Linked DNA regions of Bombyx mori. The protein of the gene in region 2 interacts with the protein of the main gene of each other region in a pairwise test. Links are inferred from orthologs where the notes say so. Each region holds a gene or a part of one and is shown on either strand. Other genes may lie near its edges. The genes, in order: Rad51, tyrosine-protein kinase Abl, epidermal growth factor receptor substrate 15-like 1 and epidermal growth factor receptor kinase substrate 8-like protein 1.

Evidence for each region.
Region 1: the proteins of tyrosine-protein kinase Abl (region 2) and Rad51 interact in a two-hybrid assay, tested with the Caenorhabditis elegans proteins (2 studies listed by BioGRID). The link is inferred for Bombyx mori from reciprocal best matches to the Caenorhabditis elegans genes abl-1 and rad-51.
Region 3: the proteins of tyrosine-protein kinase Abl (region 2) and epidermal growth factor receptor substrate 15-like 1 interact in a two-hybrid assay, tested with the Caenorhabditis elegans proteins (2 studies listed by BioGRID). The link is inferred for Bombyx mori from reciprocal best matches to the Caenorhabditis elegans genes abl-1 and ehs-1.
Region 4: the proteins of tyrosine-protein kinase Abl (region 2) and epidermal growth factor receptor kinase substrate 8-like protein 1 interact in a two-hybrid assay, tested with the Caenorhabditis elegans proteins (2 studies listed by BioGRID). The link is inferred for Bombyx mori from reciprocal best matches to the Caenorhabditis elegans genes abl-1 and eps-8.

Annotation. Positions count from the first base shown.
Region 1 is NC_085131.1:10,827,079-10,835,776, reverse strand, and holds the start of Rad51 (rad51 homolog), read left to right. Parts: upstream 1-4,378; 5' UTR 4,379-4,574; intron 4,575-5,227; 5' UTR 5,228-5,503; coding exon 5,504-5,587; intron 5,588-6,126; coding exon 6,127-6,326; intron 6,327-6,697; coding exon 6,698-6,845; intron 6,846-7,550; coding exon 7,551-7,759; intron 7,760-7,931; coding exon 7,932-8,061; intron 8,062-8,379; coding exon 8,380-8,625; 3' UTR 8,626-8,698. Other genes in the region: unc-112-related protein, read left to right, coding at 1-139; kelch-like protein 26, read right to left, coding at 1,120-1,349, 1,424-1,770, 1,950-2,959, 3,505-3,654, 3,821-3,928.
Region 2 is NC_085107.1:91,138-99,252, reverse strand, and holds part of tyrosine-protein kinase Abl, read left to right. Parts: intron 1-5,633; coding exon 5,634-5,833; intron 5,834-6,799; coding exon 6,800-6,898; intron 6,899-7,292; coding exon 7,293-7,541; intron 7,542-7,611; coding exon 7,612-8,115. UniProt on the Caenorhabditis elegans protein: Functions downstream of migratory protein mig-13 and is involved in Q neuroblast migration during larval development.
Region 3 is NC_085125.1:125,285-133,968, forward strand, and holds the start of epidermal growth factor receptor substrate 15-like 1, read right to left. Parts: upstream 5,443-8,684; 5' UTR 5,408-5,442; coding exon 5,381-5,407; intron 5,179-5,380; coding exon 5,131-5,178; intron 4,954-5,130; coding exon 4,909-4,953; intron 1,095-4,908; coding exon 960-1,094; intron 82-959; exon of another isoform or gene 1-81. Other genes in the region: glutathione S-transferase 2, read right to left, coding at 7,177-7,362, 8,318-8,431, 8,517-8,684.
Region 4 is NC_085133.1:7,036,686-7,044,800, reverse strand, and holds part of epidermal growth factor receptor kinase substrate 8-like protein 1, read right to left. Parts: intron 4,688-8,115; coding exon 4,595-4,687; intron 2,567-4,594; coding exon 2,426-2,566; intron 1,400-2,425; coding exon 1,302-1,399; intron 603-1,301; coding exon 478-602; intron 1-477.

The DNA.
Region 1 (8,698 bases), on a different chromosome or scaffold from region 2:
ATTCTCCGTACAGTCGGCCGACTGCAAAGTCGTACACGAGTTCATCGGCGGCTACATATTCCTTTCGATGAGGTCCAAGGATGCCAACCAGACATTGGACGTTGAACTGTTCCACAAACTGACCGGCGGGTGGACGTAATATCTGACAACCCTAATATTTTTTTTTTATTATGCGACGCTCCTTTTGAGCAGATACATTGTTTAATTATATTATAATTTTTTTAATTTGAATTATTGCAGTTTCGAAGTGTCCAATAAAAAATCCGTCATTTATATTATTAGCACAGTAGAAACGTTCGTGAATACTATTATTTAAATTTTAAAATTAAAAAACCACTTTCGATGCTAACGCTAAAGTTAGATGCAAAATACGAGATACATCAAAAGGAAAATATTAAAACAATAAATTAATGAATCACAGTAAGTTTTAATGGCCTTCGGGAGTGCCTTGAGTTATAAAGGTAATAAGTAAAAGTATGAATGTAGTGTATTTTTGTACGAAAAATTAATTAATCAATATTTACTTTAAGGTCTTATATATTGTAGTGCTTCCAAAATTAACGTTATTTAGCGACCGTAATCTTATACCAAAAATGGTTATTTGATGTGGAAGCTAAATTGTATGCTGCTTTCAGCCGTCAGATTATAAAAATATATATTTAAATCTACTTTTGGAAAGCTAGAATTTATGGAAACTACTAAATATTTTATTACTACCAACCTATTGAAAAGTGCCATTATTACGCTTGGAATTGTCTTTGGTGCTTTTGTGGGCTTATGGAGAAATTTCGTAATTTAGACACGTATAAGGATTTATATAGTTATTTTATCATTGTAAATAACATTAGCTAGGTATTAAAATGTACACCACTGTTGGTCGTATCAATTATCAATATATATGCTGTATACCTTATTTAATAAAGTTATTGACAACTAGTCTCATCGAGATCGCATATAATGCCGTCGTATTTAAATTATACAATACGAGTATTAACAATGTAATTTTGCCTTTATTGTAATGTATATTGTAAAAAAAATATATTAACGTATTCACTTATTCAATAATATAGTGTTTATAATAAAATTAAACTAATAAAAGAGTGTTTTTTTTTCTTTTTATTAATATTGCGACAAATATCTTTTATGGTATCGAGAGATTGCAGTTCTTGTTGGAGGTATGTTGATGACTAAGGTACATGAGCCGGCAACATCGTTCACTTTGATTTTTGAATTTGAAACTGACCAAAGAACGTTGGGCATTTCATCATCAGTTTTCCCTTTGTACTCTTCAACTGCTAACGTATCTGACTGACCACACATTGGCCTGGTGAAAAAGAGCAATTTTGAACCTGGAAACACACTAAAGATTTATTTACAAATCTTTCACAACCTAAAATACTTTTTTTATTTACGTGAATTTTACCTAAATGGCAAATGGCAGCTGGCGGATTCGTAAAGTAAGTGATCAACTGCAATTTCGTATCTATGCCAGGTCGAAATCTATAGAGATGGCTAAAATAATTTTGTGTGCAATAAATGTAATTATTGAATGACGTCATACAATTTGGTCTAATATCTGTTAGTATGACTGTGGACCATCTATCAGTTTGCCCTAAGTCCTCATATTGGTAAATATTCTTCTGACCTGATACATAAATAGAATTATTGTGTACGCACACAGCTGGATTTTGTATTGTATCTGGTAATTTGGCAATCTTCCTGTGTGTTCTTTGTTTTAAATCATATATGACAGCCGTATCAAGTACAACTCTAAAATGAGAAAAGCAAAATTTATTATTGTAAAGTGATTTTATCAAAATTTCAAGGAACAAAACAATTTATAAAATATTACCTTTAGTAACTATTATTTCACAACAAAATAGGCACATAACTGCGAATTGTCTTGATGCTCAGAGAATACAGAGTTAAAATAAATAAAAGAAACCAACCTAAAACCACCTACACCTCCAATAATGAACAATGAGTCTCCCATAATAGCAACTCCACCATGTCTTCTCGATGGTAATTCAACACCGTGCAAGATCCACTCCTTACGGAAAGTGTCATATACTTTAACATCTTTCATGAATACACTCGTACCTCTACCATGTTCTCCACAAACCAGAACAAGTTTGTTGGCACCCCATGCTACCACATTCCAACCCCATAAGTTTTTCTCTGCAACTTCCAACCATTTTTCAAGGCCTGTATCTTCACTAAATGTATACATATTATGCGATATCAATTCAGGTTTTGTATCTTTGACTATCCAGACTGGTACTGTGGGTGTGAATATCAGCTTACGATTAACACTTGCACTTACTAACTTAAAAACTTCAATATATACCCTGGCAGTGAACTTTTCGCATAGTTCATCTTTCCTTTCAGTCAAAGTTATTATAGACAATTCACTGTGTTCAGTAATCTCTAAAATACAATCAACTACTTTAAGAGGCAAACTATCAACAAAATCCTTTATAAGGATTTTTATTTCTTTGATATCATTATGACTCAGTCTTTGTATATCTAAACATCCTAAAACTATCAATATAGCATCGGCCCCTGTTTCTGAATTTATAATCCATTCGTAACCAAATCTAAAAACCTCTAATTCATTATCAGTATCTAAATATGGATGTGATAAATACCAAAATAGTCTATGAATATTTAAAATGTACTCTTTTTTCATTTGTTTAAAATTAAGTAATCCAAATGCAGCACTCAGTTGCTCTAATTTAGTATAAGAAGAGTTTTCTGCTATAATCATTGTCTCCATCCAGTTTGAGACAGAAAGATGGAGATCTAAACAGTATTCAATCTGCTTAATTAATTCTGTTATTTGAAGAAAGTTCGCTGCGATTGACAATTCTCCAATAGTTGTCAGTGAGTATTCAGAGAGATCTATCAAACCTATTCTCATGTATTGAAGTATCATGTTCATTGAGTATGCATCAACCATCTGGAAGTGGATATAGAAAGAGTAATTTTTTTAATATTCAGTAATTTACAGTTCTTCTTGTTTACAGTCCTTTTTTATTTTTAAGTTACACTATCATATTGTAGGTAGATATTTATTCCCACAGATGTCCTCAAATGGACATAGGCCTCTCCCAAACCACAATGATCGGCCTGCACTGCTTGCGTCCAGCAGATCCCGCATACCTCAATAGGTGGTCTGTCCAACGTGTGGGAGGCGAGGGAGCTAGTGTGGGTAGCCACACTACGTCTACGGTACGTTCTATACATAGAATATTATAAATAGAATAGTTAGCTGTCAACAGCCTACCCTCACCAAACGTTCCACAATGAGGTATGATTGAGGTACCATTAACATCAAGGAATCGCAAAATTATCAATTTACTACCCACTACTACTAGATAATTATGATTAAAAATTAAACATTTTGCGATTATTCATAGAGTTAAATCCATAATTATTGTTTTAATTGTTTGTCATTTTATACATTAATTTAATTTAGCTAACATAATTTATAATTTTCCTTACATCAATTTTTATTTCCTGTCGTTCGTTTTCAATATAGTTTCCACTGAACATTGCGCGAAAATAGTCGCTGTACTCGCACAAAACATTTTTGTTCGCCGTGAATCTCTGATTTTCTATTAAAAGTGTTACTTCTTGAGTGTCCTCCATCTCCTTATTAAAATCCAATAATCATATGTTATAAATGTTCAATAGAGTTAAATCAATTTTATCAAAAAGCTAACCCGCAAAAATTTAAATAAATTCGTTGGCAGTGGGGTACGGTATTCTGTATGTTTATGTTTACCTCATGGAGTTAATAAGTACCTAGTTTACCTACATTCGTGTTTCTATGTTTACGACAACGCAGGGAGCAATTGTCACTTGTCAGTTGCACCCATAGACCAGTGGTTGCACCTAACAGCTGATTTTGAGTAATAGGTTCCATTTTTCAAACTGGAAAGGCGAAGGTATGAAAAGGAGATGAAGTTGATTAATTTAAGACATTAATAAATTAGAATGAAATTAAATGAAACAAGATAATATGGGATGAAATATAGTCTCAACAAAATGGCGGTTATTTAGGTAGTTCCGTTTCACTTTTTGGAAGATACCGAGAAGTTACGTCCAGTAGATTTGTTTCCTTTTCCCACATTTGTGCACTTTCACCGATACTAAATAGTTAATAAACCACCATTATTAAACATTAATTAGAAAACTACCATTAAGTAAAGGTTAATTACAGAGCATAATGTGACTCAGTGACGCACAATGCCGAATTATGCTGAAGCTTAGTTGAGCATTATGCCGCATAATGCGCTCTTGTGCTGTAATTGGAAAACGGCCAGCATGTGTACATCTATGATTGATCTTGACATTTAAGCGGATGTGACTTTTTGGCGGGAACGCGAGGAGTAAAGTTGGGTGATTTGTTTCATTTTGTCTATTTAGTGTTTCTTCAGGTTTAAATGTGTAATAGCAGTGGTTTATTAACTGTTTCATATCTGTAAAAGTGCACAAATGTGGGAAAGTGAAACAAAGCCGCTGGACGTAACTTCTCCGGGTCCTCCAAAAAGTCCACTGAAAAAATCTCAGTAAATGACCACCATTTTTCTGAGATTATATTTCATCCCATATTCATCCCATCATATATTTCATCCCATTTCATCTCATTTAATTTCATCTCAATTGATTAATGTCACAAATTAATCATCTTCATTTCATTTTATTTCACTCCATATGAGGCCTATAAAATCAAAGGCAGCTAAACGCCTCAATGTCGCAAAATGGATTAACAATGGCGCTATCTTGTTTAGTTAGTTGGACACGCTTTAGTGTTTTCATGTTATAACAAATGCAGCTAAATCTCTAACAAATTCAGATCAAAAAATTTATTTTTACTCTGTACTAAGAACTAATAAACGAAGTTTTATCATTTAAAATTCAGATTATTAGTAATATTCTCAGTCTTTATGTGCTTAAAATGTGCTTTAAATTAAAGAATATCGTAGCTATCCGAACAAAGCTATTTCAGCTTCTCAAACCGGGAGTGTTGCTAACACTGGCCTTACCAAGAGCAGTACTTCGATGGATCGGGAGGATCCGTAATGACGTGTTTAGGGCTGATTTTTGCAGTTTACCTGAATATTTGACAGACTTGGATTTAGCTGCCTTTGATTTTATAGGCCTCATATTATCATTTTTCATAAAAATAAGAATATAAACTAAATTAAGACATGACTTAAAGGTTTTAGTTACCAGGTCATAAAATCTCTTAAAAAAATAAGCGGATGTCTTCAGACTTCAGTGTCGACTTTAAAAATAAAAATAGTGATTGAAATTTTAACGCGTATGTTACTTACAAGTTTGCTCTAACAAACAATAAAAAAAAAATTAGTTAAAATTATTTTATAATCCAAATCGTGTACTCCAAAGACACCTAACCTTGTAAAGTTATTTATAAGCAACTGAAGTTTGAATATTTTTAAATGAGCCGGTAATTGTTTGAAAGCCACGGACAATAATGAATACCACTGCTTCAGCAACTACGACTTCTTTGGATGAAGATGCTGACGAATGCGGGCCACAGCTGATCAGTAAATTAGAGGTGACGTCATGTGACAAGCTATAACTTGCTTACAAATATTACTGGATTGAACTGACTTATTGGATACAATGCGCAACTTATACTGTAGATAAATTCTAATTTATTCCATTCTCTTAACTATATTTCTTTTTAATGTGTATATGAAATAAATAAATAAACATATTGGATGATAATAAAGTGCTCCTAAGAATCCTATCTATTTATGCTTAAGTAAATCTACATATCCTGCCTTGGAGAGTAAGATATCTACATTCCAAATAAAAGATCTCTCAAGAAAAGAAAAAACAAGGGTAAAAGAGGGTCAAGTTTATCTGCTCTAAGAATTTTCAAATAGATCTCCAGAAGACACAAAAACGTTCTGTAAGAACAACATGAGTCTATGCTCATATTAAGTCAAATTCTCAGTTGTATTGCATTTGATGCTACTTAATCGTTCAACCTTACTTCATTGCAACATTGTGTACATCATATATATATCTAAATTTGGATTGTGATAATTTGTTTGTTAAATAATAAAAATATGGAATAATTTATTTTAGGGCAATGGCATCACATCAGGAGATATAAAAAAGCTTGAGGAAGCGGGATATCATACTGTTGAATCTGTTGCCTATGCTCCAAAAAAATGGCTAATCACAATTAAAGGGATATCTGAAGCGAAGGCAGATAAAATATTAGCTGAAGCATCTAAATTGGTGCCAATGGGATTTACAACAGCTACTGAGTTTCATCAAAAGAGGTAGGTACCTTTAAAATTATTTATTTATATTTTTTATTATTAATTAATGAAACGCCAATATGGCTAAGGTTAGTACAAAGTTGTGGAAAACATTTAACACATGCAAAGTATGTAAAAAAGCAAAAAAATTAGTACCTTCCTGCAGGATTTGTACCCCGTCTTTGTTACATAAATTGTTATGTCTATGTATCTACCTTAGGCTATAATGACACAATTATTGGACCTGACATAAGGGACACAGCTCAAATCCCAGTATCGAACTAGTAATGTATAGTCATATTCTTGACACAGAAAATAACTGCAGCTAATACTTGTATTAGATTTTTTTAATTAAACCAAATCTACATTGAGTATTGTTTGAATTCTTCCAGGGCTGAAATAATACAACTTACTACTGGTTCAAAGGAATTAGATAGATTACTGGGAGGTGGTATAGAAACTGGTTCTATAACTGAAATATTTGGTGAATTCCGTACTGGCAAAACCCAATTATGTCACACATTAGCAGTCACCTGCCAGGTACAATTGAATTAAACCAATTTGCAATAAAAGTATATAATAATAAATATTAATAATGTATACTATAATGATATGTGATAATGTGTAATATTGCATAAAAGACGATATGTGTAAGTGACTTCATATAAGAGCGGAAGTGAGCGAAGAAATGGTTTATGATAGAGGTATGGTAGGAGAAAACATATTGCGCCAATCCCAGGTTACTGGGAGTAGGGCAGGAGAATGATGTTGATGATGAATGTATAATATAGGTAACGTAACGGCCGTCTGGTGTAGTGGTAAGTGACATGGTCACTACACAAGGGGGTACCTCTAACACAAGTTCTTTACGAACTTATCACGGGACTAGTTAACGTGGTGTGATTGTTAGTAAATAAAAAAAAATAATACTAATAATAAAAATAAAAAAAAAAATAATAGTCATAAATGTTCATTTAAAATATTAGAACTGTAAGGTCATATTTTGATGTAAAAAATGTTTAGAGGTTAACAACAAAGGGAAGATCTTCCACCCAGCAGGTGTAATTTCTCAGTGGCAGCCAAAAAAAATTGAGAAAAAATTGTTCAATGAACAATGTCGCTTCTATGTAATATTGTAAAATGTAAAATATCTAATAATTTCATTATTTTTTTAAATAGAAATCCCATATTGGTAATTTTAAATTACTGAAAACCAATTGCCTTGGCCTTATTAAATTTTCCCAGCTACCCATTGAACAATCTGGTGGAGAGGGTAAATGCATGTACATCGATACAGAAGGAACATTCAGACCGGAAAGACTGCTGGCCGTTGCACAGCGATACGGTATGGAAGGTGCGGCAGTCTTGGACAATGTTGCATATGCAAGAGCTTATAACACAGACCATCAGACCCAATTGCTAGTGCAAGCTTGCGCCATGATGGCAGAGTCAAGGTAAATTATTTTATAATAGATCTATTTAATTGTTTTTCTGAATTTGTTATAAATTTTTTATTGTTTTTACTTGTGAATTATTTTTATACTATATATATATTAAATAATTTGATTTTCAATTAATTTATTTATTACGCATTAAAAATTTATCTTACGTGCATACAATTTTCAGATATTCCTTAATTATAGTTGATAGTGCAACCGCTCTATACAGGACAGACTATTCTGGACGAGGGGAACTGAATTCTAGACAACTACATCTGGGTCGTTTCATGAGAATGTTGCTCAGATTGGCTGATGAGGTAAGTAAATATTCCACGTAGTTTCCTATATTAATTATTTCAGAAAATACAACTGTAATTTAGTAAAGTGCTTACATAATTAAAATCGTATTGTGAACAATTTGGATTTTCTTTATAAATATTTCTATCTATTGAAACAGTTGAATAATGATTTCGAATTCAAATCACGGATGGTATTTATTTTCAAGTGAATTTTAATCCTATTATGTGATAAACGTAAAAGTTAGATTGTGTTATATTTTGAGAGGCAGTGTGTATATATTTCATGTACATGTATTTTGATGAGTTACCAATAAAGTTTCAAATCTGTCATTCCAGTTTGGAGTAGCAGTAATCATAACAAACCAAGTGGTCGCACAAGTGGATGCTGTAGGAGTTTTCAATGCTGATACCAAGAAACCAATCGGAGGTCATATCATAGCGCACGCGTCCACAACTAGACTCTATTTACGGAAGGGTAGAGGTGATAATCGCGTGTGTAAAATATACGATAGTCCGTGCTTGCCCGAAACAGAAGCTATGTTTGCGATTAGCGCTGAAGGCATCACGGATGCTAAGGAATAATAATTTAATTAAGGTGATATCATCACTGCCATCAACCTTAAATATCATTTTAAACAACGTAGTAGTGTATGTT
Region 2 (8,115 bases):
TCTATAGCGACTTCCTCAAAGCAGTTCCAGAAACTGTCCTGTACTTCAAATGACATCATTTTCATTCAAGTTAATTTTCTTACGAAGAGTCGTCATCGGTACTACTAAATTCATCATTACAACTTAGTTTCAGAGCTTCTAGAAGAATTAGCTGTCTTGCTCTTTCTGCTTGAAACAAATCCTAAGAAACTTGTTTTGAAGCGTGGATCAAGAAACGTAGCGACCAGATATTTGTTGTTTTCATCAAAGTTAAACCGCTTTTCAAACCCGGTTTGTAGTGAAGATCTTATTGTCACTAAATTTGGTACTCTCTCAGCTGTTTCTCCCTTTCCCAGATTTTATAATAAAGTAACTGCATATGGAATTACTTCAGAGATGCAGGAGAAAACTGAACTAGTTATTTTTGTAATCTCTTCAAATTGTCTGAGAAGTTTGGTACATTGTTCCGTTAGTTCCTATTGAGCATGACAAGGTGTTAGATTATTTAAAGTTTCATGATCTGTAATGTACAAGAATACAGCTCGCTTTTGTTCTAATAATCGCTCCATTAAATAATATGTTGAATTCCAGCGTATGCTCACATCTTGTACTAGTTGGTGGTTAGGCTAGTTAAGTTCTCGTTGAATGGATTTAAGTTTCTGCTCTGCTATGGCCGATTTTTTATTAACTGGTGTCATTTTGAACAAACAATATAAAAAGAACTAACGAACAAACTTTTGTACAAAATCGTAATGTTTTATTTAATTTGTGATTTATATTGATCTGACAAAGCGTGCCGTGACGTGATTTACTCGCAACTGAGACAGTCAAATGGCCGGCCACCGCCCGCGCACGATGGAGACAGGTCCCGACCGGTCGACTAACTAGCATGTACTTTGTGCCGAATATTCGGCGCTTCGGCCGACAGCGTTGCCGAAAATTCGGTATTCGGCCAAATTACTATTCGTGGCAACTCTAGACATCACCATTAACATTAAATAAATAATTCTAGTAGTGCAGACAAGATACTGGCGGTAGGACCTCTTGTGAGTCCGCACGGGTAGGTACCACCACCCCGCCTATTTCTGCCGTGAAGCAGTAATGCGTTTCGTTTTGAAGAGTGGGGCAGCCGTTGTTACTATACTTGAGACCTTAGAACTTATATCTCAGGGTGGGTGGTGCATTTACGTTGTAGATGTTTATGGGCTCCAGTAACCACTTAACACCAGGGGGGCTGTGAGCCCGTCTACCCATCTAAGCAATAAAATAAAAGACAGAATTAATGACAATGACATCGTTAGTATACAGTCATGTACACCTCGAGTGTACGATGACAGAACAACCAATTCAATCGCCGAATGGGTGCCGTAAGTACTTATTTTTGTTAAAAAAATAATAATATATAAGTAATATAATATGCGATGTGATGGTTCATTCAGCTCAAATAGATTTTTAATCGCCCGTTAGTTAAAGTCCGCCCCTGATGTACAAGTTCCGCCTCGCCAACAATACCAAATGTAGATGGACACAGTTCTGTAAGGCGGCAACCAGACCTGCCTGCCTGCTTGATATTGTTCTGTTTCATACATTTGATTGTGGGTTTTAACTTGAGTGGACCATAATTGCAAACTGCAATGGTTGATGCTTACGACTTCCATGTGGTGAAAGTGTCACAGTGCGGCTCGCACGGGGGCGCGCCTTGTTGCCCCGAGACTGATGAGGGCAATGTTTATCTAATGCCAGTACTGCATCCTCCTATTGAATTTGTGGGGACGAATATTCTAAATTGTCGCTGGTGATGGAACACCCTGGTGCAGAAGTACCTGTCACGCTTATGATTAATACTGCGGTGGTAGTCAAAAGTGCGCCTTTGTACATACGTGATGTAAACGTAACCTAAACATTTCACTTGATAGCATTAGTACAATAACCTTGGCATTTTAATACCTACTCAATACTTTGCTACATTTACACAGAGTTCATCGATGACATAAGTTTTTTTTTTATTGCTTAACTAGCGACTCGCCCTCGCTTCGCTTCGGAAACATTAAATTTTATTATTGATAGGAGAGTCCCGCCATGTTATGCGCGGTACAACAATAATTACGGGAGACGCCACGGGGCGAAGCTAAAAAAAGTAAAAAAAAGTAGCCTAAGTTACTCATTATATCATTAACTACCTATCAGTGAAAGTCTCGTCAAAATCGGTTCAGCCGTTCTAGAGATTAGCCGGAACAAACAAACAGACAGACAAAAATTGTAAAAAGTGTTATTTTTGTGTACGTACCGTATATACTTAGTCTGGCCATAAATACTGTTACAATTAAAAATAAACAAAATATTACATTTGAATTTGGAATCTGTCATTTTTATATGATTGCTCATTGAGTTTTCTCATTTTGGCGCCAATACGTTGTACAATATTCTGCGATATTAAAATGGAGTGAGGTGATATAGAGAACCGAATCGCTGTGATTGCATTACACAAAGTAGGTATGGAGCCAAATGCAATTTTTAAAACTCTCCATAAGCTTGGTATTAGTAAAATGTTTGTGTACCGGGCTATTAATAGGTGCAATGAGACCTCCTCTGTTTGTGACAGAAAAAGATCTGGCCGTCCACGTAGTGTTCGTACGAAAAAGGTGGTCAAAGCAGTAAGGGAAAGAATTCGAAGAAATCCTGTCCGAAAGCAAAAGATTTTATCTCGGGAGATGAAGATAGCACCTAGAAAGAGTGCGTGCTTCTATTGATAACTGGCCTCAACGTTTAAAGGACTGTATTGCAGTCAATGGAGACCACTTCGAATAAGCTATTTATACTTTAAATTGTTTTATATTTATGTATTAAACTAACACACTGTAAAAGTAATAAATGTTATTTGCCATAGATTTTTTTCCTTTGTCTCAGTATTTATGACAAGACTAGGTATATTCATATGCATGTAGTAAAAAGAGGCTATTTCAATATTACAAACAGACACTCCAATTTTATTTATATGTATAGATTGTGTGGACGAGCTCACAGCCCACCTGGTGTTGAATGGTTACTGGAGCCTATAGACATCTACAACGTAAATGTGCCACCCACCTTGAGATATAAGTTCTAAGGTCTCAAGTATAGTTACAACGGCTGCCCCACCCTTCAAACTGAAACGCATTATTGCTTCACGGCAGAAATAGGCAGGGTGTTTTACTGTAAAAACTAAAACCTTAGAACTCATATTTCAAGATAAATGGTGGCATTTACGTTGTAGGTGGGCCAGGTGGGCCATGAGCTCGTCCATCCATATGAGGAATAAAAGATAAATAAATAAAATTATGTGTTGTTTATGGTTTTTTTTTCACCCTAAAGTCGCGCACTCACCGTCTGATTTCAATACAGTCTCAAAACGTGTTCTTATCCTGAATGACTAAAAATTCAATAAAATACTGCACACGGGCGGGTCGGGTTCCTGACACAAAAGTCGCCAAGGGTTGAAGTGTGAATTCTTCGTCCTACCCCTAAAGATTAAGGAAGTACCCATTCGTTCAATCCAAGTCATTTTATACAATATAAATATAATTTATACAATATAAATCATATTTTATAGTCGTCGTGGCCTAACGGATAAGACGTCCGATGCATTCGTGTTGAGCGATGCGCCGGTGTTCGAATCTCAGGTGGGTACCAATTTTTCTAATGAAATACGTACTCAACAAATGTTCACGATTGACTTCCACGGTGAAGGAATAACATCGTCTAATAAAAATGAAACCCGCAAAATTATAATTTGCGTAATTACTGGTGGTAGGACCTCTTGTGAGTCCGCGCGGGTGGGTACCACTACCCTGCCTATTTCTGCCGTGAAGCAGCAATGCGTTTCGGTTTGAAGGGTTGGGCAGCCGTTGTAACTATACTTGAGACCTTAGAACTTATATCTCAAGGTGGGTGGCGCATTTACGTCGTAAATGTCTATGGGCTCCAGTAACCACTTAACACCAGGTGGGCTGTGAGCTCGTCCACTCATCTAGACATAAAAAAAAATACAAGAATTTCTTGATGGTACTCCACTCATTTGTACATTCGGATTACATTCACCCTACCGACACCACGTTCTTCAAAAACGCTTGCTCATACAACACGTGCTTCCAAAGTTTAAATGGATACCTAGTCCACTAGACCCAAGTTGTGACAGCTGTGACTCACGGGCATGACACATACTTAGCTGAAAATTTGTACGCTAGATATGAAGTCGTGTTATTGTAGACAAACTATTCGTGTCTAAACGACGTAACAATAACATATTCCTAAACGAAAACTCAAATAGCCGAAAAATAATACTCACATACATTTGCATACATATATGTATTTATTTTAACAATTTGACAGGTTTTGGATAGTTTTCAAATGAAAACGTATTTTACTCAAGAATTGGTAGACCTTTTAGACTATAGAAAGAGCTGATACTTTCCATTTTATTGAGAGGGACTCGATTGATAAAGTAAAGAGCACTGCAAGTTCTAAATAAAATACTCAACATATTAATTATTGTAAACGTGAGCTAATTAGCAACCGAACTGCAGGCGCGCCCCCTCAGTCCGCACCCCGACCTGCGCCAGCGGATCGGACGGTAGCGCCCGTGCTGCAGACGAAACTACAACTATTGTTTGGCATTCGCTTCGCACTGTACGCTAAAGATGCCCTCCTGGACAACTTATTAGCAAAGTGTAACACCGAGTGGGTTATTGCCTTGAAGATCCATCTAGTCGCAATCACGCGTAAAAAGGTGTTGACTAACGAAAAATGTCGATTGAACCCAAGTTATGGAGATTTTATCCCACTCAACACCGGGCGACCCGGAGAGATAAGAGAGAGAATAATGCTTGACCTTTTATGTGTTTTAAAAATATATTATGAGGGACATGTAATAACTACGACACACTGCAACTCTAGTGATTAATTTCTCTAGTGGATGTTGAACCCTGCGATCCCTTACGGGATTACGCGTTTACGCGACTGGCGGTTATTGTTTTATTGTTTGCTCGCGGCTCACCTGTTGCCAAGTGGCTACCGAAACCCATAGACATCAACAACGTAAATGCCGGCACCTAACTTGAGACAGCTCTAAGTCTCAGTTTTATAATACACCAATTGTTTCACCCTTCAAACCGAAATGCATTACTGTGTCGCGGCAGTAATAGGTGGGGGTAGCTAGCCATGCGGACTCATAAGACTCCTTACCACCGGGAATTACGCAAATTAAAGTTTTTGAGGGTTTGATTTTTTATTAAACAATGCTATTCCCTTTGTATACCTTCACCCTGGAAGTAATTCATGAACACGTGGAAGTACGTATTCCATTATTGCAATATGCAGCTGCCTGCGGAGTCGCATCGCTCGATACGCGCGCGCCGGCCTCCCCGGCCTCCCCGGGCACCCCGGGCTCCTCGTACTACCCCGTACTTTCTTTAATACTTTATGGTTAAAGAGGAGCAGCGCTTTTTGCTCTCTGTTTGTTACATTAAAATTTATCTAATAGTGTTATTTCGTATAACTATAAAATATTTAGTTTGCATGTGTCTATACTCGTAAATAAATATGTGAACGTAAATGCTGTAAATGCTGAAACATAACGTTCTGTAGAGCCGAGCCCGCTAACTGGTCCCATATTGCAGGCGAGCAGGTGCGCATCATGAGCTACAACAAGAGCGGCGAGTGGTGCGAAGCCCACACGCTGACTGGGGCCGTGGGCTGGGTGCCCAGCAACTACGTCACTCCAGTCAACAGTCTCGAGAAGCATTCATGGTACCATGGGCCGATTTCCCGCAACGCGGCGGAGTACCTCCTCTCGTCTGGGATCAATGGCAGCTTCCTGGTACGCAACCCACACATTGTGTCATCTCTCTGCGCGTAGACATGACCGCCATCTACCCCGAGACAATATGCTGTAATCCTTATACTGACACGCACAACTCCTTCGTGCCGTGCGAGCTCACAATACACCCTTCTACCAATACTAAAGCTACATATTATATAAACTTTGCTAGTTTCATATTTACACAATGTTTTTCGGCCGTGAACATTTTGTGAGTGCGTGTCACATTACAAAGCTACTGCTGCTGCCCGCGAGGCTTAAACAACCAGGTGGGTACCACCGCCCTGTCTTTTTCTGCCGTGAAGCAGTAATGCGCTTCGGTTTGTAGGGTGAGCACCCGTTGTACTGTAAAAACTGAGACCTTACAACTCAAATGGCTGGTGGCATTTACGTTGTTGGTGTCTACGGGCTCCGGTATTCAGTAAACATCAAATGGACCGTGTGCTCGACCATCCAACGAGGCAATAATGATATGTGGTCAGTCTTATTGTCTACTACGAATCATATTACAGTATTATACTCTTACCTTATGTCAAACACAAATCAAGAGTCTGCACAAGAATAGTTTGTACCTACTCTATAGAATACTTCCGAAACTATTTACTTGGGAACTTTCTTTTTTGTGTGGTGTAAAACAATGGTTTAATGGAACACTCTCTGTAGTTTTGACATGATATACTCTTTGTGGGACACCCATCTGATATAGTATAGTACATACACATGTATATTTAAGTATATAATTATAATTTATAGTAAGTATATATATTCTATAAGAAGTTATACACTATGCGCTACTGTATACTCATATGTAAAGTAATAAAATAGTATTTAACGCGAGGAGAGCCGCTCCACGTCTGGTCCGACATCACCCACAGAGTGACGTCGCGAAGGATCGCCGACTGCCGCAGCCGCCGAGTCCGACCTCGGAGACGATGTATACTAAACCGGAGGTCGGGCTGTTTGTAGGTCCGCGAATCGGAATCGAGTCCTGGGCAACGCAGCATATCCCTCCGCTACGAAGGGAGAGTTTACCACTACCGCATCAACGAAGACGCCGATGGGAAGGTAGGGCCCTATCACTAACGGAGGCTGGCAGTGCGGTAGCAGCCTAGCACAACACCACTCTATCTCTTCCTGTGGATATCCTAAAACTGACTTAAGGACTTCGCCGGAGGATGGGCAGAAGCTTTATACAATATTAGCATACGTCGATCGACAATCGTGATCCACGGGTGGCTCCTACCGTTCTGCCTGTTTCTGCCGCGAAACAATGAGACTTCAGCTCGTGTTGCAAGGTGGCGGTGGAACTCACGCGCTGATGTATGTGGCCTCGTGTGACTCATTGAGAACTTGTTGCTATGCATGAGCCACAATTCAATTAATGATTACAATAAATTTTCAGACGACATATTAAGAAGAGAATGTGATTTGACACGCGTTCTTTGTATATCTTTTGCAGGTTTATGTGACCTCCGAGTCGAAGTTCGGAACGTTAGCGGAGCTGGTCCACCATCACTCGGTGGCGGGGGACGGTCTAATTACGCAGCTGCTGTATCCAGCACCGAAGCGCTCGAAGCCTACAGTGTTCCCCCTGGCTCCCCCCGACCACTGGGAGATCGATCGCACGGACATAGTGATGAAGCACAAGCTGGGCGGCGGCCAGTATGGAGACGTTTACGAAGCCGCTTGGAAGCGCGGCAACATCACGGTGAGTGTGTAACTGCACAACTGTGCCCCCTCGCCGACCGGCAGCCCGCTAATGTGACGCGTGTCTCCAGGTGGCGGTCAAAACACTCAAGGACGATACGATGGCGCTCAAGGATTTCCTGGAGGAAGCCTCCATAATGAAAGAGATGCGACACCCGAACCTGGTGCAGCTGCTCGGCGTGTGCACACGCGAGCCCCCGTTCTATATTATTACGGAGTTTATGTCCCGCGGAAACCTGCTGGAGTACCTGCGGGCGGGGGCGAGGGAGTGCGTGCCGGGCGCGGTCGTGCTCATGTACATGGCGACGCAGATAGCGTCCGGCATGAGCTACCTCGAGAGCCGCTCCTTCATCCACCGCGACCTCGCCGCCAGGAACTGCCTCGTGGGGGAGAACCATCTGGTCAAGGTGGCCGACTTCGGACTGGCTCGCCTGATGCGCGACGACACATACACGGCCCACGCCGGCGCCAAGTTCCCGATCAAGTGGACGGCGCCGGAGGGTCTGGCCTACAACACTTTCAGCACCAAATCGGATGTCTGGGCTTTCGGGATCCTGCTGTGGGAGATCGCCACG
Region 3 (8,684 bases), on a different chromosome or scaffold from region 2:
TGTTAGTTAAAGGCAAAAGATGACAATAAACACATTATCTATATTATTATACTAATACGTGAAGCAAAAACTTTGTAGCCTATTTGCGACAATTGCGCGGACGGACGAGTATGAAATTACCCACGCTTATAGAGAATATAGAGAAGTAGTGCAGAATACCAATATTTTTTATATTTATGTATAAATATACACTAAATCAATAAAAAACACATTACACACACTACCATGTATTTGACATACACACGCATTTATACTCTTTTGTTTATTGTTGTTCAATTAATTATGGTCCAATTTCGACCACTAGTATAAATTTATTAAGTCAGATATGTTTTGGTAATCCGTAATGAAAGGCGATTGCATGCAGCAGAGATGCGAATGTTGCGATGGATGTGTGGAGTAACGAGAATGGATAGAATACGGAATGAATATGTTAGAGGAAGTCTGAAAGTGGCACCTGTGACAGAGAAGCTGAGGAGTGCGCGTTTGGGATGGTATGGACATGTGATGAGACGAAATTAAAATGAGGTTGGTAAGAGAGTGTTAACTATGAATGTGGAAGGATATAGAGGAAGAGGTAGACCTAAGAAGAAATGGATAGATTGTGTGAAAGACGATATGGGTAAGAGGGGAGTGAGCGAAGAAATTGTATATGATAGAAGAGTATGGAAGGAGAAAACATGTTGCGCCGACCCCAGGTGACTGGGAGAAGGGCAGGATAATGATGATGATGTTTTGGTAATCCGTTATTCGTTATTTTCTCTAATTACACTGGAGAAGAAGCATACCTAACGTATCAAAGACAACAAGGTCGAGCCCAGACACAAAGCACATCTGTGTCTAATTGGGTCGTCGTCGTCTGCAATGCCTCTACTAACATTCAACTTATATTTATATCAAGTCCGGTAGCTTGCACTGTGTAAATAATCAAGCACCTACAAATAACAAGAAATATGTATTACCTTATCAAGACAACCCTTGCCGGCTGGATCTGATAGGTCCCATATCTTGCTGAGGACAACGTCGCTAAGCCGAGACTTCTTGAGGAACCGAGCAGCGTCTAGCGCTTGAATGACCCCAGTGCCGTTTGGGTCCACCTGTAATCGTAATAAGGTCCGTCAGACTGCTCCGCTATATGTATGTAGCGCTTCATCACGAGATCTCTGAATCCATCCATTACCATGAACTTTGAATTTGGCATTTGAGAAAGGATTTTACCCAAATCCTATCCAGAATGAATTTTTCGCCTACCCACCTTCATATTCATATGCCAAATGCCTCTTGATTTAACCATAAAACAATGTGACCTTTAAATAAGTGTAAAACAAAACTCCAAAGGAAAAATACTTAAAATTGAGTGTGCCAGAGGACCATAGAGTATTAGTTAGAGGGTTAGAGGGTTTAGTCTCTCCGTGCTTTATTAGTGTTAACTAAAGTCTATTTTACTATAAAAAACTCGAGATCTGGCAAATTGTTTGATTTAGGTTTTCATCTTAACGATAAGAGGATCACAGGTGTTAAATAGGGGCATCATTTCTTCAATTATAATCGTATTGTAAAGTTTAGCTTTAAAATGTGAAACAGACAAACATACGAGGGCTGCACTAAAAGTATCGGGAATGGAATATTTCCACTGTTCCTGTCATATTAAAATCTTTTTAATTAAAAACTCCTTGGTTTTAAAAATCGAATACCATTTATTTATTTAAAAAAAGATTCTCGGTCTTGTCACGACGTTTTGTCAAACTTGTTTAGTCGTTGAAAAAATGGAATTGACTCGAGAAAATTCAAGAGCGATGATTTATTATGACTTTCGAAATGGTTTAACACAAAAACAATGTGTTGACCGGATGATTTCTGCATTTGGTGATGAAGCCCCATCCAAAACCACAATTTATCGCAGGTTTGCTGAGTTTCAACATGGACGTGTCAAGCCCAGTGATGATCCCAGTCAAGGTCGTCCAAAAACTGCAGTGACCCAAGAAAACGTTGATGCTGTGCGTAAGCTGATTGAGGAAGATCGACATGTGACATACCGCGAAATTCAGGCAACTTTAGACATTGGCATGAGTCAAATACAAATAATCTTGCATGAACAATTAGGTGTAAAAAAGTTGTTTTCCCGATGGATACCGCATTCGCTCTGTGAAGAGCAAAAAGCGGGTCGCATTACTTGGTGCGTCAGAACTCTCGAAAGATTCCACGCAGGATCCTCAAATGCTGTATACAACATTGTATCAGGTGACGAATCCTGGATATACGCGTACGAACCCGAAACAAAAAACCAGTCACGAGTTTGGGTGTTCGAAAATGAGTTAAAGCCAACAAAAATTGTTCGTTCACGGAGTGTTGCAAAAAAAATGGTGGCCACGTTTGTCTCCAAAACCGGCCATGTTACGACTATTCCTCTTGAGGGACAAAGAACGGTTAATGCAGAATGGTATGCTAGCATTTGTTTGCCACAGGTCGTTTCTGAACTCCGTAAAGAGAACTGCAACCGCCGCATCATCCTCCATCACGACAATGCGAGTTCTTACACCGCGCACAGAACAAAAGAGTTTTTAGAGCAAGAAAACATAGAATTATTAGACCATCCGCCGTACAGCCCCGACCTAAGCCCTAATGATTTCTATACTTTCCCTAAAATAAAGAATAAATTGCGTGGACAGAGATTTTCATCACCTGAAGAAGCTGTGGACGCCTACAAAACGGCCATTTTGGAGACGCCAACTTCCGAATGGAATGGTTGCTTCAATGATTGGTTCCATCGTATGGAAAAATGTGTCAAATTTCGCGGAGAATACTTCGAAAAGCAATAAATACATTTTTAAATAGTAATGTTGTGTCACTTCATTAATTCCCGAAATTTTCAGTGCCGCCTATGTATTCATGTTTGCATTTCCAATATTAGTAAGTACTGATTTAAAAAGCAAGAAAATACACTGAATAGAGCACATAAGGAACAATAAGGAAGTATTGCATCTGTAATTGAAGAAACCAACATGTTAGATCAGAGCCAGTTTAGAGCAACACATTTCCTGATCTGTTCTTGTTGTAATGTGCACACAGCCTCTAAGTTATTTAACTTACAATCAAGAATCCAACAGTACTGGCCTATGCTTATATCTAGCACTAGTATAAAAATTTTGTAAATCATAACTTTTTTTTATTACTTATGTAGGATACGGCCCATCTGATGATGAGTAGTTACTGTCGTTCCTAGACGTCAGCAATCCAGGGGCAGAGCCAAGCCGCTGCCTACGTTTTAATACTATCCACAAGCCTCATTTGAAGAAGGGCATATAGTGCTTGGGAAACACCATGGAAGGAAGCTCATTCCAAACCCTAGTGGTACATGGCAAAAAATTGTGTGGATGAACACATTGGCTCTAGTATGGATGAACTCTATATCGGTGGCGGGCGATGCGATGGTAAAAATGAAATTATGGGATCATCTCAAACAATTCCTCAGAGCACTCCGTGGAACATACAGTACAAAATCCGAACGGCTATATTCTGTATGGAGTCAACTGGAAGTAGCTGGTTAGGGCTACAGGAATATATTTATCAGAATTCTTAGTTACAAATTTTGACTTAAAGTTTGCTCAAAATAGATCTAATGCAAACCAACAAACGGCCAATGATGAAACAATTTGGAGAGAATTATTACCATATTTCATTCATTAAAGTAAAGAAGGGTTGAGATATAACTTATTTCACATTTGGGTACAAAATATTTGTTGCTGCAATGACCAAAAACACAACACTGAAATTTATCTGATTTCACATTTTTTATCACCTCTTGGCAATCACAACTAATCTTAAAATATACCATATATATCAAAGATACAAATTTCATTATCATATTTGATCTTACGTCTGAGATGGTATTTACTTTGTGCATTTTTATTGAATTGGTAGAGTAAGTAATCTATTCATTAATTTAAACAGAACTGATCTATCTTACAATGTTTACCACCAGTAATTCTGCAAGTTTGATTTCTAAGACAATGTTATTCTTTTACCACAAAAGTCATTTGTAAAGTGAACTCATTTTTAAGTACTTGTTTCCTCACAAAAATTGATGCCTGCCTGCAGGACTTCAATACTGGGTCAGTCACATGACTCAATATGAATTCACTGGGTGTCTTATACTTTAGGCCACAACAGCTTCATGTAGGTAAAGCTCAGCAAGATTTGAAGGAGGACAAAAGTGTCCAACGGCATAATTATAATTTAGTGAGATATAGCCTATTCAAATTACATACACACACTGTGACATAAAATGAGCCTACATAAATATACACATATGCCTATATTTTACACAATATGACATTTATCTTAGTGATCATAAGCTTGGAATAGCCACTCATGTGCTATTTCAGTGTACTGAAGGGTTCTTTGAGGAAGATTTAAATTTCAAAATAAACTCTACCAACAGTTATAAAATGAGCAAAACCAACTCAGCAAACATGTTAATCTATTTATATTTTAATTAATTTCTTTGCAATATCACTGTTCTAGTCATTGACATCTCTTTGAAAAATGATTTAACAACCAGAGGCAACTGAGTACCTGGAGGAAGTTAGTTGACGACCGGCTTTAAATTTATGGTTAAAATATTTATTCAGAACTGTTTATGAAAATAAAATACTTAAAGTTTCCTAATATCTCATCAGTGATTAGAGAATACAATATGTAATCTGATGGGTTTTTTAGATTGGTTAATAAATACAAAATTCCGTCTTTAAAATTTATCAGCTATAGTCGAATTATCTATGAGTTAAACTATGCATTTGTATACAAATGTACTCGTAGATCACTTAGGCAAGAGCAGGGTTGATGACAAATTTATTTAATATACCAAAATGACCAACAAGACATGTAAGTATGTATGAACTCTCCACTTACCTGATGATAGTAGGCTTCATATATCGTGCTGTGGGTCCCTGCCACCTGTAACGATTGAGTCCACATATTGACACCGTTTAGATCACCATAATATTTGTTTTCGACTTGTTTATATCACTTTTGAGGTGGCGTTACTTTTAATCGAGATATGTTTTAATTGTTAACATTTACTATTCAACCAACTAATTAAGAGGTTAATAAATTATTAAAGAGATTATTCACCATAACTGAGGCACAGTCTTTGACTACGAAATGGGCATTAAATGAACACTGTTGGGATAAATACGTCAATACATTAAATTCAAGCAAATAAATTTGTTTCTAACACGATCTTCACACTAAATTACTAAAACCGGTTATTTTTGGTAACCACACACTAAACTTTACTAAAACTGGACTCTTTAAATTGATTAATTAACTTCCTTTAAGCAATTTAATCAAAAACAACTCAGTAAATCTTATTAATTTCTACCTGGGTAGGAGACGGCAAGGCAGCCATTTTTTACATCTCCTCGTCGACCAATCAATATGCAGCCAGTCATAGACTAAGCTAAGTGAAGGAGTAAAGATTAAAGAAAGGAAATTGTACTTGGCACTGTCATGGAAGGTACTGACATAGGTCTATGACCATAATGACTGATAAATATTATTTACTTTCTGGCAGGAATATGAAATGTCAAGTTGCGTGAAATGATTTATTTTTCTGTTTTTCTTCAGGCATTATCGTCTAATTTTAACTATTAATTGCATTCTATATGTCGTTTAAAATGAAACATGTTGGAAAATTGAAACAAAATCTTCATCCAGCTTTTCGGATTCTTCCAAAATGCTTAACGAATCTCCCATTACTTCACTGATATTATTTAATTTATTTTCATCTCGTTTCATTGATTACAATGAGGTCGCCGAATTCCGGGTGTGAATAGTCCGGAGAGTTTGGACTCATAACAGATATTCTACTATTATGTTTTATTCTTTCTAACACATTTAAAACTGTACCTAATGAATGGACCTTCTCTCTCGCACACAAACTTCATGTTAGATGTAGAGAAAGTCAGTTTTTTGGATCTGGATCTCGGTTTTTTCGGACTGTTGATTCACCGAATTCCGGGTGCAGCAGTTGGCGTCAAAGTCGTCATTTTGAATGTTACTGTGCAAAGGTTAAACAAATTTCAGTGTTGACAACCAAAGAAAATCTATCAAAATTTAATCATTTCAACGTTGTGTTTTTTAAATTCCAAATACTCCCATTTCTACCAACACGAATTTATTTTATTAAGTCCAAACACAACCCTGTCAACCAGTGAGCACACTAGATCATCCATGCCAAAAAGTTTGAGCATTTGCAAGAGAGGACTGACCACTTGCTTGAGCAAAGTAACCATTTGTGGAGGTAATGGTCCAAGACTTCAACGCTCGTCATCAATAATGGTTGGAGTACCAATAAAACCATTGACCTCCCGAACCAGGCTACCTACGATTACGCCTTAGCCTACGGCCTCACCTAGCTGGGGCCAGCGCCATGACCACATCCCATTTACCGCACGGCGTACCTGCGCTCTAGCGCGCTGCATGGCAGCAGTTCCACGAAACTATTGTGTGAGAGCAACCGGTTGGTGGTATATTGCGTTCCTATTGGCTGGTTCTAGTCCAGCGGGATATTCCGGAACACCAGCACCACTGCCTGGGGTGGCCCGTCGGGCTACCGCACCGAGACGGCCGACGTAGAGTCGTCAACGATGGCCTCGTCGACCTATCGGTCGGGCGTCCTAGGGTTGGCACCACGAGTCTGGTTGTAGTGCTGACCGCGGGAGCCCCCCTACTCTGACTGGGTTCTGACCCCAGGTGAAGATCGGACGTCGGTTGAAAGAGTGCAAGGGGGTCGTTTGGTGGATAGGGCCCTTAAGCATCCTTGGACCCGTGGTCTGCTCGAAACATCTGCAGATTGTCAAGTCTCACATACCTCATGCAAGGTATGTGGGATTTGACGGTCTGCACCTGAGGTTCGGCCGATGCCCGAAAAAAAAAGGCCACATCCCATTTGACGCTAAGGTAATACGCCATTGGTTGCCTAGAGTCTTGCGTGTAACAAACGACCCTTCAATTGTCCAAACTATAACCTTTAAGTCGTTTAGGTATTCTCCCTCGGGCCGACAGTATACGGTGCTATAGAACTAGGAAGCATCGATACTGCGGATCAAAAAACTTTGTAGCTTTTTCAAACCAATAATTTAATCATCTACTCATTTGAATAATAAAATGGTTCATTTAGTTTGGCTTGTAAAGACTCATAAAATATTTCAATCGCTCTAAGCCACGTCTGTTGATTTCAAAACAAGGTAGTTTTTCCAATTCATCCATCCACCTCTTCAAGTAAACAAATTTCTTGATTCCATTAACGACCGTCTCCATGGAACTAATGGTGGAAGCACAGCAAAAGTCGCAAATCCTCATCTAGAGAATAAAATCAAGCAAATTAATTGATGTTTCCTGTGAAGATGACGTTGTCTTGCATTGAAATCAAAATATATAATAGTTAGGAAGCTGAAAAGAACGTTGAATGAATCTAAACTGGAAGAAGTCCCACGGGGATAAATGGAACTAATATGACAGATCGGCCATATTTGTCGTTATCAGGTGCTGTCAAGTGTTGTTGTGTTCGTTACTATTGCGTTTTTTATTCAATTGTCGTATTTAAACTATTATTTACGATGTCTAAAGTTGTAAAAAGTGCCGGTCGTGAAATAATATTGAAGGTGAAGGAGTTTTGTGAAGCAGAACTGAAGAATCAGGGGGTTTTGATACCAATAAACAATGTTCGTAAGAGAGTAGCCGTCATGACAGGTAGTTAGTTGGGGATACCAGTTATGTGATTTTTACCATTTTACTTGGGACTTTTTTATGGTTTCGTACTTATTGTTAGATTAAAGTATTTTATTATTGTTTATTAAGATTTAAACATTTCGTCAAAGTTTAACAACACTATTGAAAATTCTGACGTGCCTGTTTTGTTTTATATCTATTAAAAAAAATGCAGGTGTGTCTTAGAAAACAGTTTCGAGGATAACACAAGAAGGAAAAGTAGCGGCTAGTACTTAGAAAAGGATTGTCACACCAGGGAAGAGTCGCCCACGTGCAAAAAAATAGGTTTGGATGGATTCGATCTATGTGCTATTCGCCATAAAATTCACCAGTTTTATACGGTAAAAAAGAACTTCCTACTTTAAATAAATTACTCGCAGTGTTAAAAGAAGACATTGGGTTTGAAGGAAGCCGCGCCACTCTACATAGAATACTGCAAAGTATTTGTTTTAAATACAAACGATGTCAGTCAAGCCGTTTAACCCTTCAATGAAGACATTCAGTGATAGCCGAGTACAGAAGAATGAATTAAGTACAGATTTGTTACCTGATCTCCAGCGAGCCATGGAGAAACCGACAGAGCTGTATTTAGGTAATGCAGAGAATTAAACCATTCATCAACTTTAACTCCAGATGGCATTTTTCCACAAAAATATTCAGACTGAAAATAAAAATAACGCAACGGTTCAAATTAATATATGTGTATCCAAATTTATGTAACTACCATTTTGTGTAACTGTACTCACAAGTATGAAACTGTCAATTGGAAATAAAGTTGTCGCATTGTAGAAAAGCATTTGATTTATTTTTGCCCTGGCCAAAGCACTTCCTGGATACAAATCTTCAGATTTAGTAGTTTCACAAAGGTACATTGCAATAGCGTGACTGTCACAGATCACATCTTTATCAACTTT
Region 4 (8,115 bases), on a different chromosome or scaffold from region 2:
GATATGAAGTGGTTACCGGAGTAACCACTTCACATTAGGTGGGCTGTGAGCTCGTCCACCCACTTAACGCATTTAATGTCGAACACACTGCGCTGTGGAGGATCGAGGGCCCGGACTCACGGCGCCGTTGTGCGTGCATTGATCAATATATTGATCTTATAAGATCGCTACTTTACGCATATGTCCATATGCGTCACATAATGCTATCAACACGAACGGTGGAAACGGTACATACTGCTGCATAAAAAGAAACATAATTACAAGCCCGGCGCCGTGTGCTCGGTTCCCAAATCCTTCATGGCGCCGTGTGGTTGGCATTAAATGTCTTGAGCAATAAATAAAAAATACAATCAATTTAAACTAGCCGTATTTGAATAAACCCGCAGGAAGCCACTTTTTTTTCTACTGAAATACGTACTTAGCTCATGCTTGAGATTGGGAGAATTTGCTAGAATTCTGAACAAGATTAGAACTTACCTCTAAATACTCTCCCCTAACGACAGTTAATTCTTTATCGTTATTTGCAGTGCGAGGGTAGGTGACGCGCACAACGCGGCCTCCCCGGGCCGCAACGCCCCGGGCCCACGCTTCACCCAAATCTGCTGAAAAAATTAATAGTTTATAATATATAATATAATATAATAGTTTATAATATAATAAATAAGTTTAAAAACCCTGTCTAAGGGAGTTTATATTTTTTAGAGTAGTCGCTCCCCAATAGTCGAAATTCGACTATAATTAACTGTAATTAAAACTTTGACAATTATTATGGTTCTATTGTCAAAGACTTCTTTAATCACAGATCTCATCTCCTTTTTATCATCGCACCTCCCGCCATCGGAGCAGAGTTCATCCATATTATCTGGAACCGCTGCGTTCATTGACAGTGCGTTTCCAAAGATTTTTTTTGCCATGTACCATCCGGCTTTGGAATGAACTCCCCTCCACGGTGTTTTCCGAGCGCTATGACATGTCCTTGTTCAAACGAGGCTTGTGCAGAGTACTTTATGGTAGGCAGCGGCTTGGCTCTGCCCCCGGCATTGCTGACGTCAATGAGCCTTAGTTCAGGCACGGAATGTTATTATTATTATCTTGCTTTGCAAGAGACGCGTAAACAATTTTGAAACATAAGGCTACAAAAATATAATAAACAAAAATTCAATTGTGGATTCTCGTTGGCTCTTTTGATTGACAACCGACCACTGGTCTATAGTTTCGTTTTTTGTTTAATCGAAATTGGATGCCTTTCTAATTGTTTATGGACAAATTGCATTCGGAGAACTGTCGAGACTATTGTTTACCTTCATCTCTGTCTGCGGGGCGATACGGGGGCTCTCTGTCGGGCGATGAGGCAGCGGAGCCCGAATCTTCGCGGCCGATTGGTGGTCTCAAGTTATTTCTGAAATTTAATAATAAAATTTCTCATGTAACAGAACTGTATCCTTTTTTCAGCTTGAGGCTGTTTCAGCTTTGTCTTAACGTGTAGGTGAGCTCACGGGGCTCAAACCGGGCGTGTTGCTAACACTGGCCCTAGTAAGCGCAGTGCTTCGCAGAATCTACCACCGGATCGGAAACGCGACCCACTGAGAAGATCCAGCGAGAAACTCAGTGGGCTGTGTCTATGGGTTAATTTACCAGTCGAGCCCTTCGTTGCAAGCGACGGGTTCAGCGTGCACCGTGACCAGTGCTTGAGGTACCTAAAAGCACCGTTAATGGATCGGGAGGATCCTTAATGACGTGATGTATACTAATGGCGGGTACTGAGAATGGCGGGAATTACCTTGGCCTCTTAGGTTTCGTAACGGTATCTCTAGCATATTGTATTAGATGTAATTTTGCTTTGCCTTAGAATGGTAAAGTAGTTAGTATAACAAAATAATCTATTTTCAAGCTTTATGTCGATTAAGCTGATGCTCATTGTTAATAAAGCCAATCTCTAATGACACTGTCTAATTTTCCTTAGACGGGTAGATGAGCTCACGGCCCACAGGTTGTTAAATGTTTAACGGAGCCCATAGGCATCGATAACGTAGATACCGCCAGCCATCCTGAGCATCAATTCTGAGTCTCAGTTTTACAGTACAGAATGTTTATCTTGAGACGTGTATAGCCACAGATTACTCCATCTGATGGATAGCTCATTTAATTTTATGTTTTGCTTCTATAGACAAATTTCATTATAGGAAATATATAAGGATGATAGCACACATCTCGTCATTACAGTAAATTGTAATTCATATAAGTATTCAACACTCAATGTGAAAGGTTGTAGGGATTTAACAAAGGTTTCCAAATTGTCATTTTTTAAACACACAGTAGAGATAAATAAATTACAATCAATCGAAAATCGATTTGTATCATGAATCGATAACATTAAATTGAAAATCGCTTTGCGTCGAAAATCGATTTTCAATTAAGATTCTACCTGGCGAACGGAGCGTATTGCTCGTTGTATATCTCGGGTTCCTCTCGTTCGAACGTGAAACCCGCCACCTGCCCGCCCTCGCTCCTTTCCACGCCCCGTTCCATTGTACCCCTGCCCAGCTCGCTGCGTCTGGGCGATGACCTTCACAAAGCGGACGAACACAATATGATTCGCTGACGTCACAAACATGCGACAATTCGAAGACACTACGCATAATTTTTTTTGCTGTTGTCGTATATTATGTTAAGAATGATATCGACGCTTGAAAGGCAAACGTGACTAAGCGACAATGTGCGAACTTTACAGTAGACTAATTTAAAGTTGAAATACCTGAAAACAAAATTTATTATAACGAATTCAGCTGTAGTAGAATCTAGCTAGTAGCTGTAGGATTGAAATGATTTTAATATACCTAGAAATATAATTTTTTTTGCGCATCGAATATGGTTATTGCCTATCATTTATGTACAAAGCAGTTATTGTAGCTTAGTCACGTTTGCCTTTCAAGCGTCAAATATGAAGTTAGCGCTCTGTCAAGTTTGCAAGTAGCGCCATCTAGCGTATTGTTTTGATATTTCCAAAATCGATTTTTGCAATAGTCGATTTTATGATCCAACCCATCCATGATCAGTTTAAATACTAATGTTAAGTAGGAGTGGGTGATATAAATCGTATATAGATTCAATATCTATATATCGCAGCAATATCGTTGAATCCGATATCGCCCCGCACGAAATCTATATATCGATATCAACCGATACACGATATTGCTCGATGTGATGCGCATCGGCATATCGTACCGATTCGTGAATCGAAATCTATATAACGATATCAGCCGATACACGATATTGCTCGATGTGATGCGCATCGGCATATCGTACCGATTCGTGAATCGAAATCTATATAACGATATCAGCCGATACACGATATTGCTCGATGTGATGCGCATCGGCGTATCGTACCGATTCGTGAATATCAGCAATATTCGTTTGGTTCGTATCGAATCGGCCAGAGTGAGTGAGCGGACGATAGGGATATCATGTGATGAATGAAACAGAAACAGGCATTATCCATACAATTATAAACCTTATATTTAAGTCCATACGTCTGTAGATTATTCTTAGTGTATCAGCAGGATACAATTTAGGAAAAAAGTTTCAACTTTCGACCCTAATTAGAATGCAGTATAGCCTATTTGCACCGTTGAATTTAATTTCACGCGCTTTGACCTTGAACTAAAATTTTTGGATAAGTGTTTATAAATACTTAAAAGTTTTTTGTGTTTGATTTTTAAAGTACACATTTTTCTATTTTTAGTTGAATCCAAATAATTGAGTTTATTTGTTGTGTTTGTATTAAACTTTTGAAAGTTTAGAAACTTTTATTTTAACATAAACTTAGTAAATAATAAAATTTCTGAATTAATTTTGTAGTGTATGATGTATAAATATTATCAAATGAACTTCTAAATACGTCTCCGATATTTTCTCGAGACTTCATCTAGGCAATACTCACGTTAGGTACCTTAGGCGCGAACGAAATCGCGAATGTTACCTAAAATATATGTATTTAGTATTATGAAATATTCTACCTAATCTACACGCTTTTGGTATATTTTGTAATTTTAAATTAAGACACAAAATACTAAAAACTGAAAATAATGTAGCCGGTCCTAAGCCTGGTAAAAGCATGAAGGAAAGTTTTTTTGATATTTTTATTTTCATGTTCTTTTTATTACTTTAAAATCATATTATTATTATAAATTGATATCAGAAAACCAACCGTATAACGTTGACTTGAATCTATATCTACTACAATACTATATCATCGTATCGTTTCAAATCTCAAATATCATGAATCGAGAAAATCTACTAGCATCCATCAATATATAGATTCAGAAAATATATAGATTCAATATCCGATATTGATCCTCGATATATAGATACGATTCGATACGCGGCAAAACCGATATTACCCACTCCTAATGTTAAGTATAAGTTATTTGATCCATTCTCATGATACATTCAATTGAATACACATTAAATAATCTTTAATTAAATGTTATTAGCAAAATGAAACATTAAAAGCATTATGTTGATCTAATTTTCTTAACGACATATTACACTGTGATGATTCTAAATGTTTCAAACTATTCATTCGTATATTCACCTGCGTAAAGGTTGGTCATCGACTTGGTAATCTGGAGTCCATCCGTCCATGAAAACCGGTTGATATGGTGGTATCTGTGTTTTCCATTGCTCCCTGTAAAATATATTTTTTTCAAATATTTTTTTGTTATCCGATGAACAAGCTGGCTTGGATCCACCTTGAGATATTGAGTCGAGGACCCAATTATATTGTTTAACATCTTTCAAATCTGACAACAGCTAATGATGAATGTTACGCGTTAAAAAAAAAATTAAAAAGTATTTCCAAAAAAATACGTCACGTATTTTAGTCAGGCAACATTTAGGTAATGATAAAAGTTACATTGCTTTGCGTTTATTTTGCTATAAGTATTCATATGAAGCTCTAAACAATGAAAATATGGTTTTATAAAATCATTCAAATGTCAAACGTACGAACGAAAGTATTGTTTTAATGTCATTAGTAAAGATTATGTGAGTCGACTATTATCAAAGCTGGCAATGTGACTTTTGGACAATTATTGTTAAATCAGAAAAACGAATTATTGACTTTGTATTTCATTGGCAGTCACAAAACTCTTCTGAACGACATCTTAGATAAATAACAGGTTAAGTTAATACTTTATTTAATGCAGGTTTTGAAGCATATTCTTTGAAGGAGACGATTGATATTCAAATCAATCTGTATTGCCATATCAATAACATTTTTTTGTCCAAATGCACAGATTGCCACCTTTGATAATAGACGACTCATGTAGCCTATGAATAGTCACACGGCATCAGTCATTTGCTTCAACTATCAAACTCAAACGATTGTGATAGCTGGGGACAAATCACCTGTGAGCTTAGTGCGTGTTTTTTCTAACGTTGTCGATAGCGTAAAAGTTAACTCAAATTTGTATGCAGTTGGAACAGCGCCCCTAACGGCAAACCTAGGCAAACATTCCAACTCCATGCAAATTGAAGTTAACTTTTACGCTATCGAGAACGTTAAAAAACTCATACTAACCACACTGGCCCCCAAACCAAGAATACTACAGTACTACAGAACCCAGAGACTTATAAACGTGCTATATGCGTTGAAGTATATAAATAAATAGATATTTAAACATCCAGACAAAGAACAAACAAGCCTGCTTATCACACAATTGTTTGGCCGATGTGGAAATCGAATCGACAACCTTAGACCCAGCGTCAGGAGCGTTAACTATTGCGCCATCGAATGAGTCAACAGATTGAAACAGAAAATACTAGAAAGAGACAAAAATATAACCAATATGTTACCATAGTATCATAATTTTGGTAAATATATGTGAAATTTGGTTTTTGTAGTGTGCGTTTCGTGAAATATTATCTATATATCTTTTTTTTTTTGCTTAGATGGGTGGACGAGCTCACGGAGCCCATAGACATCTACAACGTAAGTGCACCACCCACCTTGAGATAAGTTCTAAAGTCTCAGTATAGTTACAACGGCTGCCCCACCCTTATAACCGAAACGCATTACTGCTTCACGGCAGAAATAGGCAGGGTGGTGATACCTACCCGCGCGGACTCACAAGAGGTCCTACCACTAGTAAACAAGACCAGTAAAACCAGTAAGCAACATGGATGTTTTTGTAGTGTGCATTTTATGAAATATCATGTTTATATCTGAAGGCAAATTATACCAATTACTAAAATCTCTCTGGTATTAAAGGCTTCGTCAAACAGAACGCGTAATTAGCGCGCATCAGAGCGCTAAACTGACGCCGCGCTATGACGCCGAGATGTGTTGTAATACTATGGTAACCGCTAGAAGTAATAGTGTTCTGTGATGGTAACATACCGTCAAACAGAGCCCCAGCGCTATAAGTACGCAGCGCTCTGTCGCGGCGTTAGGACGCTTTGACGTCAGGCGTTGTAATCTTTTACAAATTTTATTTTAGCGTCGGAGTGAATGTGTATTAAAATAGTAGATAATGCCCGAAAAAATTATATAAATTGTAGTTAGAAAATATCCATGCTTATACAATGCCACATTTGAATCACTCGATTTCTTAATACTTTTATATTTTCACACTGCTATCGAAAGGCACTATAATTTGGCGAATGCGTTGCGTCAAGGAGCGTTGGGCTCATCTAGTCAATTTGTGTGACATGAAAAGAGCGCGACGTTAAGTACGCGACGCTAAGTACGCGTTCTGTTTGACGAAGGCTTAAAGCAACAGCTATAAAACGACCTTTGGATTAATTTACAAGGATTCCAACGAAAAGACGATATCAATAGATAAAAAAAATTATAATATTGCTTTTTGATAAGATTTATGAATTTATGATTTATTAATATAATGACTCAAAATTATACAAGGCGAACGTTATTTGAAGTTTGACAAAAAAAAAACTTTTACGATTTTATAAGAACGATTACATCCTTATTTCGTCATCATTATGACAGCATCGGTCCGCAGACATCTACTGCAGAATATAGGTCCTTTCATGGCTCGGTCTCGGCTTGTCCACCTTGTGGGACTCCATTTAGACTTAGCTTTCCGGTACGCTGTATCTACTACACTTTTATCCCTTATCCATTGTTACTTCAACCATTCAACCCTGAGGCCTATCTCAGCTACCATGGTTGTCCTATGAACCTCCTCATTGACGCAGGGAAATTCTGATCTTAGCAACATCTATTATTCTTGAGAAGATTTGAGCCTTCCAATAAGGCCTGTTGTTAGCGAAATAATAATTATTAAGCTCGTATTATTAGCGAATTAAGTGGGTGTGCATGCTTTCCGTGAATGAAGTCGGACAATTGATAATGTATCATCATGTTTGTCCCGCATAATGTTCTTGTTCGATGATTTTCATTCATAACGACTAAACACAGAAGCATGTAATCATTGTTTATCTCTATGATACAGTGGTACTGTATAATGTATTAATTTTGACGGATTAAAATTCTTTGTATGTAATTCAAAAATAGCTTTATCGTTTTTACAATTATTTGCGCACAGTACTGAGGAAGAATGTTAATTGGTTGTTTGGATGCGAGTATGACAATAAAAATAGCTAATTTACCCCGAAAAAGTAGTTTTAATTGTGCCTTTTTTATTCACCCCCGAGACGTGCTCCTCGATTTCATTAGGGTTCCATTTATAATTCAGAAAGCAAGACATCGCAACTTCCCTCGACAAAGAGTTGCTTTTGCTACTTTTCAACCCATAGATAGACCTTTGTTCTTATTCTTCTTACGCTTGCTTCACATTATATAGAGTCGACGTAGCATGTTCTCTTAACATGTTGCTTAGGGATTTTGTAGTTTTACGTAAGTATATCCGTGAATCTGATGTCACCTCTCATCCATTGCAACGTGCCAAGCAAACCGATATGCGTTTAACCGGTCTTTAACAATGTTATTAGATAATAACGTCCTTCAAACGCCAACATACGCCAGGCTTGTGTAATGCTATAGTAGGGTACAATAAGTTCACACTGTTAGATGGCAGTCTATTTCGGTCATAAGCCCTTATTTAAATGGTGGGACACTTATTACAATATAAC